3 linked regions of the Arabidopsis thaliana genome follow. The protein of the gene in region 3 interacts with the protein of the main gene of each other region in a pairwise test. Each region holds a gene or a part of one and is shown on either strand. Other genes may lie near its edges.

Region 1 (4,579 bases), on a different chromosome or scaffold from region 3:
TGATTGCATCATCGATCTGGAGTTTCCCACAGAAGATACCGAGGGCGATTACTATAGAGTGAGCTGATGCTTGGAGTGCATCAATGCTTGCGAGTTCACCATCATTCGTTTTCTTGAGCAGTTCTTCTACTGCTTTCACTAGCTTGTCGTCTTGTTTACCCCCGAAGATGCTAGAATACACTTTCGGTTTGACCCGAAACTCTGACTCTATCCACTCAAGTAGAGGATCAATACTCTCTACCTGAATATCTGCAAAAGACACAACTCAATAAGTGTAAAATCTAGGAGGTAGTTGAAATTGAAGAGAAAGTGTATTTTACCATGGACGTCACTAGTTAGATCATTATCTTCAGGTGCTCGGAAAAAGACGAGATCTTGATGTATCTTTCTCGATAAATGTTCTATGATCTTTGAACGCGTAAGAGGAACTCTTTCAAGTGCAGTACATGCTAGTCTCATAAGCGGCATTGTGAATGGTCTGATCCCTTCTGTTAGCTAACACAAGATCATCGTATTGATTGATACCGAGTCAGCTACCACACAAACATAAGTAGATGCAAAAGGATCACAAGAGAAAATGAGCTAGAGAACTGCAAGCCTAGTTCTTTAAATCTCACTTCAACTAATCGAATTATCAACCTATTGATCACATTAGAACTCAGATTGCAAAGTCCAGAAACCGATCAAACATTAGGGACACTAAAGAACGGTAAGCTCTCAGCTTTAAGTTGAATAAGCAATGAGCAGACCCAATTACAAGGATTCTAGCTAACTTAAATCAAACCCAGTACTGATCAGCTACAAAACAATAGCTAAATAGCTTAAAGCAATAAACTTTAGAAGTAAAACAGATCAAATTAGTGAAATGGAACAAACCTGATACTCCCACTCAGCAGCAATGGCCTTAGCAAGTGCCAAAGAACGAAGCTTGAGAGGTCTTTTCGAAGGGGTTTTAAGGGTTCTATAATCAAGCATCACAGTCCATCCATTTCCATCATCAGCTTCTCTAGTCGTCACTTTCTTGTAAAACCTCTTCCCTACGATCGAACCAGTCATGAAAGACGTCGGCATCGTCACTGAATCCGATTCGTTTTTCCGGCGAGAGTTCGGAGCTTTCACTAAGATGGGTTTCTCATTTTCCTTCTCGAATGTGAACGACGACGAAGATTCCGATGGCTGAGTATCGGAATCGGGTTGACGAGCGGCAGATGTCGTACATAAGGATCTAGCACGAATAGCAAGATTAGAGTTTCTCGCTGACTTAAAAGCTCTTCCGATTAACATCGCCGCCATTAATCCTCCCTCTCCGGTGACGAAAATGGGGACCTCCTTGCTTAGGGTTTTAGATCACATAGATCGTCAGATCCAAGCCTAAACGACGTCGCAATAACCCGGAGTGATAGTTAACCTCTACTACAATGAAGGTGTTTTGATAATTGTGATTATAATTACAATTTTATTCTATCTCATTGTAATCAGCTCTGTAATATAATATTTGTAAAGAATTTTTTGACAAATATCATTTGGGTTATATAGACAATCTTTTTTAAAAAAATTGGCTAAATTTAGTTTGTAAACTTTTCTATAATTTTCAAGAGTTACACTTACACCAATTCATTATGTGATATGTATTGTTTCATCCGTAAATTAAATAAACTAAAGTATTCTTACCCAAATAAGTAAATTTTATTACTCTAAATCCAAAAGTTTTGTTAATTAAGTGATCCGAGTCCCGAGAAAAAAATGATCCGAGTCAAAAATGCTGAAACTTAACTCAAAACGGCATCGTTTTAGCCGCCGGTTTCAAAACTTTAAAGAAAGAACGTAACCATAAAGAGCGCCAGATTCAGAGATAAGGCTCATTAAAATCACCTGCTTCACCCATCACGCTAAGATCGTGGAATCTTATATCACTAGACTCTCCCAGATCATGACACGTCATCATCTTCATCATGAGACCCATAATTTTTTGAAACTGTTTTATTTCACTCCCCAATAATATTTTCTGCTTTTAGCTCTTTTTAAGGCTCTTCAAAAATCTCCGTCAACGTCGAGAACAAAATTTGGAGAAATCGAACAGACGATCGAGATCGAGGAAAATGGCGTCGTGGAATTCGATTCCGCTGGAGATCTCGTACGAAATCGTTGGATGGATCGCGTTTGCTTCGTGGTCAATTAGCTTTTACCCACAGCTGATTTTGAATTTCCGTAGGAGAAGGTAATCTAATCTACCTTTTGTTCTTGAGATTTTGTTTCTATATCTGTAGTTGAAATTGAAATTGATGAAATCTTGGTTGTGTTTGGGAAAGTGTTGTTGGATTGAACTTCGACTTCGTGATGTTGAATTTGACAAAGCACTCGTCGTATATGATCTACAATGTCTGCCTCTACTTTAGTCCTGTTATTCAAAAGCAGTACTTTGACACTTATGGCGATAAAGAGGTTTGTTTCCTCTTTCTCTCTGTTATTCATTGAAGCATTAAGCATTTAATGAATTTGATTGTGGAATCTAGAAATGAGTTTTGTTTGGATTCTAAGATGGTTCTTGTTGGCTCTTATCTTCATGGTTACAAGTTTACCTTTACTTATTAGCTAATGAAGTCAAAATTGAAGATAAAAGTTTGTTCCTTTCTAAGTTTCAGCAAAAAAAAAACGCTTTAGATTGTTCGAGCTGGTTTAATTTTTTTTGAGTCGTTTTGTTATAATTGTTGCTTATTTCAGATGATACCTGTGGCTGCAAATGATGTTGCATTCTCGATCCATGCAGTTGTAATGACAGCTGTTACACTGTTCCAGATCTTTATCTATGAAGTGAGTAATCAAGTTTCTTAGGCTTGCCTTTGTCTCTTTATCCCATACAAGTGTTCTTTTTTTCCTGATGATTTCTAGTGATTTGCTCTCAGCGTGGACCTCAAAAAGTATCCAGACTTGCTATAGGTATTGTGGTTGTTGTGTGGGGATTTGCAGCTATCTGTTTCTTCATAGCATTACCTACACACTCTTGGCTATGGCTCATTTCAATCTTCAAGTAAGTTGTTGCGCAAAGCCTTCTGAACCAATTCTTTTAGTGGTAATCTAACAGTTTTGATGATAATGGTTTATTTGTTCATTGTTATAGTTCGATTCAGGTCTTCATGACATGCGTCAAGTACATCCCACAGGTCAGAAAAGATTCCAAACCTTAATTTTTTTCATTATTGATTGAATCAGCATTACTCAGATTTTATGTGTTTGCTTCACAGGCAAAGATGAACTTCACTAGGAAGAGCACAGTCGGGTGGAGCATCGGGAATATTCTTCTCGATTTTACTGGAGGACTTGCTAACTATCTGCAAATGGTTATACAATCTATTGACCAAAGTAACAATCTCTTCTCTATCACATCAATAGCTTTTGTTTTCTCTGATAATAACATTTTGAAAGAAAACTAAAACTATCTATTTCCTTTGGTTCTTCCAGATTCTTGGAAGAATTTCTATGGGAACATGGGAAAGACTCTTCTCTCACTTGTAAGAAAATTGATGGAGTTTTTTTTTTGGTTCAATTCTCTCTCTGTCTCTAATAAACGTCTCAAATTGTTTTTAACAGATATCAATATTTTTCGACATCCTCTTCATGTTTCAACACTATGTGTTATACCCAGAGAAGAAAGTCTCAAAATCTCCGGAAACTGGTGAGGAATCGAACGAACCACTCATTGATTCTTCTCATGAACATGTTTAAAGATCAGATTCTCAAGAGTCATTAGTTTCAGCGTTCCCACTGTATATGTTTATATCACAAAAAGGTACAAATGTGAGAACTCTTCAGATTGTCGTAATATCAGTCTAATGTATCAAATCAATTATCACAGAAACAGCAAATGTATAATACAATGTTCGATCTTGGGTTATATTTTAAGAAACAAGATGAAAGTTAATAGAGCACGATCCATTACCCATAGTAGTGCATCTACTAGTAGTCTTAGGCACAGCATAGAAGAGTTATATCTATGCAAGATCCAACCAAAGTCACTATGGTTCGAGGGGTACCATGAACCATCATCTTCTTGGCAGCGCATATCGATAGGGTCTTCTCTAAGGTTCCGTTTGCGTCCTCTGCTTTTTCTACCCACTTCTCTAATCTCCAGTTTTCTACTTGATGCATCGCGAGCTGTAGTGTACCCCATAGGAGTCCATTAACAGTGAACACCATCCTTTCTTGTCTTGTTTCCATACGTATCATGACCAGAAATTTCTATATGTATATCACTCTGTCATGACAAACTTTATTTCTCAAGTTCATTGATAATACATTTGGAACATGGAAATAACTTAAAACTAAGTAACTTACTTGAAATTGAAAAGATAGTCAAACTTTTTTTTTGTCAACTTCATAATTCTTCATTAAAAGTTTGCCAAAAAAAACAGTCAAAACTGTAAAACTCATTAGTTCTTTTATGGTAGAAAAGTTAAACAAAACAGTCAAAGTTTTTGAAACATTTATCAATAGTATTTTATGGAAGATGGTTAATATCATTTGACTACCATTGTAGATCATTAAAAGCAAGATAGCCTCTATATATATCTTAGTAACTTTT
Region 2 (4,739 bases), on a different chromosome or scaffold from region 3:
GATGACAAATTACCATTAATGAGCAATGGATTTTATTCGCATGAAAAAGACACATAGATAGACTGTTGAAAGTGGTACCGAGTCAGAAGCATATATAGTTTAATTCAAACCAGAATATTCAGAAAATGCAAACTACATTAAGTCTTGACATGTAACTTTTTTACTGCTGATTGAATACACATACTTTAATCTAAAAGAAATATTTAGAGAATAAGACAAATATTTAATTTTGTGGTTCATAGGTAGGACAAAATGTAAATGGCTTTACATATACTTTTAGACAAAAGTGTTTCAAAGGATATTGGGTTTTGGACCAAAAGCATTTTTGAAGGGAATTAAGACAACATTTATTTCGGGATGAGAGTAGTTGAACATATTTGTTGTGTTATAGGACTTAGGAGAGCTTCAAATGCACCAGTATAAAAATAAAAAAAAATAAAAAAACTGAATCAATTATTGATCGATTCTTGTAAGTATATCTTTAAAATTTGAAAAAGCTTATGTAGAAAATTGGTTTATATTTAGCTTCATATTTTAGAATTATATATATTTCACATAAAGTTATTTCAATTCCACTTTGTATCTTATGCAAGAGACAAATGACTCGCAGAAGCACTTCATTTTCTAGTGTGAATTTTCAAGCAGAATATAGATGTCCAAATCCGATACTAGAAAAACCGCAGCTTCAAATCCCCAAGAACTCTCCATATAGTTCTTCTCCTCTTATCTCTCGCACTCTTCACTTGGGCAGATTCACACTGGTTTCACAAACCGCAAAAAAAAAAAAATGGTAATTAAAACAGTCTTTGATTAATTTTAGTAGAAATCCATTTAACAAAAGATTCGATTTGGTCTAGAATAACTCCATTATTTCAAATTGAAAAAATATAGATCATACATATTGTGATGAATCATAGCTAAGGTTTCTTCTTCAATTCCACCATTTAATATGTCGAACGCATAGCAATGTCGTACTCGTAGGCTACAAATAACTCTTGACCATTATAGTTCGAAAAAGAGACGCATTTGATTTTGATAGAAACAATTAAATGGCCATCTAAGCTATATTGGGCTTTTTCTCAATGCAGCCCATAATATTCGAAGTGCAAGTTTTCACTAGTCACCTACGAATATCTGACACAACACTTGCACTATTTACCAATTAGACAATTTCCAATCTTCATAGTTAGTTCATACTTACTAGAGAATATAAACGAGAAAACGAAGGAGGAGTAATGATCTTAAGTTTTCAATTGATCCATTCTTTTCAAACATCAAAAAACAAAAGATTGAGAAAACGCAAATAAGATTAAATCGTGTTAGAGAGTTTAGTTAGTGTTTATATAGTCATTATAATTTCTTTTATACCCTTTCATTTCTCGGCTATAAACAAACCAAAACAGAGACCAAAAATCAAGAGTTCTTTCACATCATGGACGAAAACCTGTACTTTGGGAATAAGCAGAGACATAACTTCTGAGGTTGTTGTCTCCATTACTGTAACAACAAAGCTTCCTTCTCCTTCTTCATAACTTCAAGCTGTCTTTTCGCATACTTAGTGATGAGAACAGTTGTCACAACAGTTGCTACAAAACCAAAAATGTTGAGAACAATTTGAAGAATCGAGAGACCCTTTTGTTCCGCAGTGGATGCATCTGCCAATGTCCTTATAAGAATCCCTCTGCAAACACCAAAACAAACAAAAATACTATCAGGATGCTAAATCAATCATTCATTCATTACCAAGAAAATTGTAAGTCATTTCCACACTTACGTATAAATTGCGACAAAAATCTCCGGCGCCATGCCTACGAGAGAACCAGCCATGTAAGGACCGAACTTCACACGAGTTGCAACAGCGCAGTAATTATATACAGCAAAAGGAAATGGAGAAATCCGGATTAAGGTAACTGCACGAAACTGATGAAACCAACTGCCTCCACCAGCAGCTCTCAACATTGCAGCTTGATCTGGATATCTTTCTAACCAACCCTGCAACATTCATCAATTTCAGCAACATACAAAGTAGTCGTTACTAAGAATATAACTGGTTCTTAAGCGAGACACATACTTGAATTTTGTTGAGGAAGAGATAGCTGATGAAGTAAGGAAGTGAAACACCAATAGCTACAGCTGGAAGAGTAAGGAGAAGGCCATAGAAATAACCAAATGTAATCCCAGCCACCCACATTGACGGCGTAGTTGGAATAAGTATCACAGGGAATAAAGAGACTGATGCAAACACAAGAATACCGCACACAGGGTGTGTAAATGTCTCCATCTCCCATTTTATGAGTGGGATTAGCTCCTGCAAACAAAAGTTAAATGGATAATCCCATAATCAGCAACAGAGCCAAATATGTCACTGACTGAATTTGTCACCAGCATCGAAAATCTACCGATTTTAGACACAGAACATCAACAACGAAACCTCACTTTGGTTATTGGATACTGAGCTAATCGTAGGGATACATAGTTTCAATTCACATGAACCAAAATCATAAAGGAACCTCTTTTATACACTAAGGATCTAATTCAGTAGTTGAAACTATAATCAAACCCAATAGATAAAGAAGAAGACTTTCAGAAGAAGATCAATTCAACAAGAAATCATTGGAGGAAATTGAAAACCTTATCCATGATTAAAGGGTATAGCCATTTGTAACCAGCGAGACCCAAAGCAGTTAGAAAAGTGAAGAAAAGACCAAGCTTGATCCAAAACCAAACAGATCGTTTCTGTCCACATGAAGAAGAAGAAGACGGTGATGATGAAGATTCTTGTTCTGTTTCTTGTCGATGTACTTCGAAATCTTCAGTAAGTTTAACATAATGACCTAATTTATCAACTCCATCTTCTTCAACTCTAACTCGAAATTCAGAAACTGTATCGTCTTCTTCGTGATAAGTCATCGAGTAGAAAAAAAGAGAGCGCTAGATTAGTAATCGACTGGATTCTCCGATCGGATTCAGAGAGAAAAACCCAGTGATGGAAAAATTGAATGACTCAACGAATCGAAAGAAACCTGGGGATGAAGGAAGGATTGAGAATAACAAATAAAGAAGATTTGTGTGATTTTGGAGAAAGATGAGTTTTTTTCTTTTTTCGGTTTGTTTGTTAATGTCATGGCTTGACGCATGTACCCATTCTTTTAAATTATTTTCTTATTACTTTATGATTTCTTCCGTCGTTACTTGCATTTTTTTATATTTTTTATTCAGTTTACCAAAAATTCTAGGAAATATAAAATAGTTATTTCACGGTTGACGAAAAATAATAAAATATGTAGTTTGAAAACACCTGGACCATGTCGGCATAAAAGCGTGTGGATATTGTTAGAAAGAAAAAAAATAATAATTTAAGGCCCCTACCAAATTTTACATTGTAAGATTTTAAGGTCTCAAAATAATTAGGGACAAATATTTTGGTGTAGTTGTAAAATTTGTTTTGATTGGGAGGTGTATATTATAAAACCAGATTTTAAATCCGTAATATACCGCATGATAATTTTTTTTTCTAATATATATATATATATATAAAATATAAAATTTTAAATTATTTATCTTTATATAATATTTTTTTTGTTTTGTTTACGATTGTTATTAAGTAACATATACCACGAATTTAAGAACAATAATTAAAACTTGAGGATTTAATTCGTATTAAACCAGCATATTACTGATATTTTAAAAATTTATAAATATTGATTCAAACTCATCTACTATAATCCGTTCCACAATATAAACCGTCTTGTAATCTCTTAACTCATCTCATGTAATATTTAATAAAAATATTAAAATTAAAAATTATTTATTATATATAAGTTTTTAAATTATATCATTTTCTGAGATATTTATATTTTATAATTTAATTGTTACTAAAAACATTATATTACTATATATATTTTATTTTATATAATTTTTGTAAATCAGACTGATTTATATGTATAATATTGATAGTATCAAAAAATAATAAATTTAAAACTTAAACTATATTAAAACAATATATTAATGATATTTTAATTTTTTTATTAATATTATTTTTAAAATTCGTTCCGTTAAATTTGTCTCGATAAGAATTTATTTATTTTATTAATATTAATATTAATCTGAATTACTATTTAAATATTATAGTTAATGTAAAATATTAAATACATATATTTTTAAATTGAATAATATATGTTGGTTTCTTACTAGGCATTACTAGACATTCATCAACGAAGTGAGATGGTGGCCATACACGTGGCCACAAATAAGGAGGTTAGCTTGTCGCGGGTTTCCCACTTTTTGAGCTTTTATTTTAATTTTATTATACGTGTTTAATTTCACCGACCAATAATCCACTGTGGTCGACATTCCGTATTCTCCGTGGACCCGGTTTTCGCAATTTCCCAATTTCCTCAATTTCGATTTGTCTTTGTCACCACAATCTGACGACGCCATCGCCGCAATGCCTTCCACCACCGAAACGGCAACATTTCCGATATCTTTCCCGCGAGCTACTTTTCTACTGTTCCGAGATCGAATTTTCTTCTTCTCGACTCGTCACAAAAACGCCTATTCTCACTTTCACCGCTCTTGGATTTTAATGGATATCTCTTGAAACCTCTCCGGCCATCTTCTCTTCGGCCATACTCTGAAATTTGGATTCCAAATTTATCAAAATTATAAATTTGATGGAAAAAAACGTGAAACAAGATTCACAAAGTTTCAGAATCCACGAGGTTGGTTGATCCAAGCAA
Region 3 (4,660 bases):
TCGAGGCTCTGCAGAATACTATGCAAGAGCTCGAGGAGAGAAGAGATGATCTGTTAAGAAGAGTTGTCATAGAAGAAGACAAAGGTTTGCAACGGCTTGCTCAAGTTCAAGGTTGGCTTTCAAGGGTTAAAGATGTTTGTTCTCAAGTCAATGATCTGCTGAAAGCTAAATCAATTCAAACTGAAAGGTTATGTCTCTGTGGATATTGTTCTAAGAATTTCATATCTGGCCGCAATTACGGAATAAATGTACTGAAAAAGTTGAAACACGTGGAAGGACTTCTAGCTAAAGGAGTTTTTGAAGTGGTGGCAGAGAAAATTCCTGCGCCTAAGGTGGAGAAGAAGCATATCCAAACCACAGTTGGGTTGGATGCAATGGTCGGAAGGGCATGGAACAGCCTCATGAAAGATGAACGAAGAACTTTGGGTCTTTATGGTATGGGGGGAGTAGGTAAAACCACGCTCTTAGCTTCTATTAACAACAAATTCCTTGAAGGGATGAATGGATTTGATCTTGTTATATGGGTTGTGGTTTCTAAAGATTTGCAAAATGAAGGCATTCAAGAACAGATTTTAGGAAGACTAGGTCTTCACAGGGGATGGAAACAAGTTACAGAAAAGGAGAAAGCCTCTTACATATGCAACATCCTCAACGTAAAGAAATTTGTGCTGTTATTGGATGATCTATGGAGCGAAGTAGATTTAGAAAAGATTGGAGTTCCACCTCTAACGCGAGAAAATGGATCCAAAATAGTTTTCACCACTCGTTCTAAAGATGTTTGCAGAGATATGGAAGTTGATGGTGAGATGAAAGTTGATTGTTTGCCACCGGATGAAGCCTGGGAACTGTTCCAAAAGAAAGTTGGACCAATCCCATTACAGAGCCATGAGGATATTCCCACACTTGCAAGAAAAGTAGCAGAAAAATGTTGTGGCTTGCCACTTGCACTCAGTGTCATTGGCAAAGCTATGGCATCTAGAGAGACTGTTCAGGAATGGCAGCATGTGATTCATGTTCTGAACTCGTCTAGCCACGAGTTCCCAAGTATGGAAGAAAAAATTCTTCCTGTTTTGAAGTTCAGTTATGATGATTTAAAAGATGAAAAAGTCAAATTGTGCTTCCTTTATTGTTCCCTGTTTCCGGAAGATTATGAAGTAAGAAAGGAAGAGTTGATAGAATATTGGATGTGTGAAGGATTTATAGATGGGAATGAAGATGAAGATGGAGCTAACAACAAAGGTCATGACATAATTGGCTCGTTAGTTCGTGCACATCTATTGATGGATGGTGAACTAACAACAAAAGTGAAAATGCATGATGTCATACGCGAGATGGCTCTTTGGATAGCGTCGAACTTTGGAAAACAGAAAGAAACACTTTGTGTGAAACCCGGTGTGCAGTTATGCCATATACCAAAGGACATCAATTGGGAAAGTTTGAGAAGGATGTCTTTGATGTGCAATCAGATTGCAAATATATCTTCTAGTTCCAACTCTCCCAACCTCTCAACTCTATTACTCCAGAATAACAAGTTGGTGCATATATCATGTGACTTTTTTAGGTTTATGCCAGCACTCGTGGTCTTGGATCTTTCGAGGAACTCGAGTCTCTCTAGCTTGCCGGAAGCAATTTCTAAGTTAGGTTCCTTGCAATATATCAACTTATCAACAACAGGGATAAAATGGTTGCCAGTTAGTTTTAAGGAGTTGAAGAAATTAATCCATTTGAATCTGGAGTTTACTGATGAACTTGAAAGTATTGTTGGGATAGCTACAAGCCTACCAAACCTGCAAGTGTTGAAATTGTTTTCTTCTCGTGTTTGTATTGATGGCAGTTTAATGGAAGAGTTACTACTCTTGGAGCACTTGAAGGTTTTAACAGCAACTATAAAGGACGCCTTGATTTTGGAAAGTATACAAGGAGTGGACCGATTGGTGAGTAGTATTCAAGCTTTATGTCTCAGAAATATGTCAGCACCGGTTATAATATTGAACACGGTAGCTCTGGGTGGTCTTCAACACCTTGAAATCGTGGGCTCCAAAATCTCAGAGATAAAGATAGATTGGGAAAGAAAAGGAAGAGGGGAGCTTAAATGTACAAGTTCTCCTGGCTTTAAGCACCTCTCTGTTGTTGAAATATTCAATTTGGAAGGTCCAAGGGATTTAACATGGCTGTTGTTTGCTCAAAACCTCAGGCGTCTATCTGTGACGCTGTCATTAACCATAGAAGAGATAATAAACAAGGAGAAAGGAATGAGTATTACCAATGTGCATCCAAATATCGTTGTTCCGTTTGGGAAGCTGGAATTCCTTGAAGTAAGGGGTTTGGATGAGTTAAAGAGAATCTGCTGGAATCCCCCGGCTCTTCCAAACCTGAGACAATTTGATGTACGAAGCTGCCTTAAGCTACCGGAAGCTGCCACTGAGTTTCCGCGACATGCCAATGAATAATGGGAGGACGGTGCTCCGGTGCTAGCTGATGGTTTCTGGCTTATGTACTAGTTTTGGAGAATGAAGCTATCGCAGATCGCAGATGTACTGCTTTTCTATCTCCCTCATTCTTGCTTGATTTGACACTCTCTGTTTGACTATATCCTTTCACTTCTTGATTTGGTTTCTGTTTGTGCACTGCTTTTGTTCCCGATTAACTTGTTTTCAAAGTTTTGAAAGACTATTTCCTTTTTCAGTTTTCACTTGTATTTTGTTTTTGTCTAATAAGTTCAAAAAATTCCAAGTGCGTTATCATTCTCTCTTTACTCTAATCTCTCTGAGTTTATTACTTTAAAAGGTTTCCTAATCTTTGTAACGCGGAAAACCGTTTTTAGCCTTCCAGTAAGAACACTAGATGGAGACGCAATTTCATGGCGGCGATGGAGAAGATCCTTGGCTAGCTCGAGACAAACTATACCATGTAATATTCTGCTTCTCAATCTCTCTTATCTTCTCTACTCTCGCCTCTTTCTCCCGCTACTCCTTTCTACGCCGTCACTCCATCTGGATCGGATCTGCTTTCTCACTCGCCGCCGGTGCGGCTAAAGAAGCTGCCGATCAAATTGGTATCTTCCCTTCCGCAGGTGCTTCCGTTAGAGACGCCGTCGCGGACGCCATTGGAGTTGTGATAGCTGCTTTGGTTCTCCTCCTCTGGAAATCTCGAAGATCACGTACCCGACCCATCCTTCCGATTTGAATCTTCTTTCTTATTGCTGCCGATTCGATTCACAGTAGAAAATATTCCGTTGAAGCTTGTCAGTGTTGTATCCACGGATAATCTCGCAATTTTTATCAAAAGTTTGATCATCACAAAATTTTGGTAATCAGTCTCCTTTGATTTTACTTGTTGAAATGAAAACATGCAACAAACAGTTTATGAGAGTATTGTTGATTCAAGTAAATCAGTTTTGAATAAAACTGTACTCAGATTATTGCTGCTAAAGTATATGATTCATGAAATCTGAAATTTTGAATTAGTTCAGTGTTTAGGCTCAATATCAAATATTCGTTTTCGCCATTTGCTCATTCATTGTGAAGATCAAGGAGAGAAACATTTGGCCTGCTTGAAACATCACATCAAAATTTGAAAACCAACAAAATTGAAAAGATTATGATGTCCAAGACCAAGACCAAAATGAATTTTGGTCAAACATGAGTCAAACATGATTTTTTTTCTTTTTCTTTTTCTTTCATCAATGTGTTTTTAGTCGTTATCTTTAATATTGCTTTTTCCTAACTCTCCTTCTATTGGCGCATTTATTTTTTCTGAATCCTAATTCATTTTTTTTTTGTTCTTAAATTAATTCCAATTTCCAAGTCCTCTTCATCTTTATTGCTTTTTTTATTCCCTAACTCTTGTTTTATTGGCATAGAAATTTTCTTCGGATCCTCCTCACTGTCTCTCTATACTCCACTCTTCATCAAGCGTTGGGTCATCGCCGTCTTCCCTTTCCTTCCCTCTCTAACGTAAGCTCCAGATTTCTTCTATTCTCTGTTTTCTCATTGAAATCCCTAGTAATGATTTTCTCTATTCTCTGGGCATTTCGTGCTTCAATGCCTTTACTCACTTCTTCTTTAAGAAAATATTTTGGATTTCTCTATGTTCCTTATCATGCATGCGACATGCGTGAATCTCTTAGCTGAGTTTTGTAAATGCTGTATCAATTTCGTCTCTTTTGCTTTCTCTAGTTTATTTTTTCCTTAAGTTCTTCCCTAGGGTTTCTCTTGCTCTGAAGATTTCCATACTATCGACTCAGTTTGCTAGAAATTGAGTCTCTTTTGGGCTTTAAACTTTGCTGCATGAACTATCTGATGTGACAGACTCATTTTAACTCTAAAAAGTTTTTCGATTTCTTAGAGATTCTATTTAGCTTGTTTGGTGAATGCATCATCCTCTTGGTTGCTATTTTTCATTTGTTATCATTCTTTTCTCCAGGTAAAGCAGGTAGGATGAGCATTTCTGATGAAGAGGCTGAGATCAGCGAGTCAGAGATTGAGGACTATTCTGAAACACCCTACCGCCTTTTACGCGACGGGACTTACAAGGTGAAGGTGAATGGACAGCTCAGATGCCCGTTTTGTGCAGGCAAGAAGAAGCAAGATTACAAGTACAAGGAGTTGTATGCACATGCTACTGGGGTTTCCAAAGGTTCTGCCACCAGAAGTGCTTT

Evidence for each region. Proteins that work in one complex are often made in the same cells at the same time.
Region 1: the proteins of AT1G15900 (region 3) and AT5G40670 interact in a protein complementation assay, tested with the Arabidopsis thaliana proteins (one large-scale study listed by BioGRID).
Region 2: the proteins of AT1G15900 (region 3) and AT4G12000 interact in a protein complementation assay, tested with the Arabidopsis thaliana proteins (one large-scale study listed by BioGRID).

Annotation. Positions count from the first base shown.
Region 1 is NC_003076.8:16,283,869-16,288,447, forward strand, and holds AT5G40670 (PQ-loop repeat family protein / transmembrane family protein), read left to right. Parts: upstream 1-1,842; 5' UTR 1,843-2,099; coding exon 2,100-2,218; intron 2,219-2,309; coding exon 2,310-2,442; intron 2,443-2,721; coding exon 2,722-2,811; intron 2,812-2,903; coding exon 2,904-3,028; intron 3,029-3,118; coding exon 3,119-3,161; intron 3,162-3,242; coding exon 3,243-3,360; intron 3,361-3,459; coding exon 3,460-3,509; intron 3,510-3,588; coding exon 3,589-3,723; 3' UTR 3,724-4,079; downstream 4,080-4,579. Other genes in the region: AT5G40660 (ATP12 protein-like protein), read right to left, coding at 1-249, 321-495, 877-1,293. UniProt on the Arabidopsis thaliana protein: Thought to transport cystine out of lysosomes.
Region 2 is NC_003075.7:7,192,033-7,196,771, forward strand, and holds AT4G12000 (SNARE associated Golgi protein family), read right to left. Parts: upstream 3,185-4,739; 5' UTR 2,911-3,184; coding exon 2,632-2,910; intron 2,309-2,631; coding exon 2,072-2,308; intron 1,993-2,071; coding exon 1,775-1,992; intron 1,682-1,774; coding exon 1,495-1,681; 3' UTR 501-1,494; downstream 1-500. Other genes in the region: AT4G12005 (uncharacterized protein), read left to right, coding at 4,674-4,721.
Region 3 is NC_003070.9:5,461,512-5,466,171, forward strand, and holds AT1G15900 (uncharacterized protein), read left to right. Parts: upstream 1-2,761; 5' UTR 2,762-2,844; coding exon 2,845-3,186; 3' UTR 3,187-3,436; downstream 3,437-4,660. Other genes in the region: AT1G15890 (Disease resistance protein (CC-NBS-LRR class) family), read left to right, coding at 1-2,450; FDM1 (XH/XS domain-containing protein), read left to right, coding at 4,440-4,660.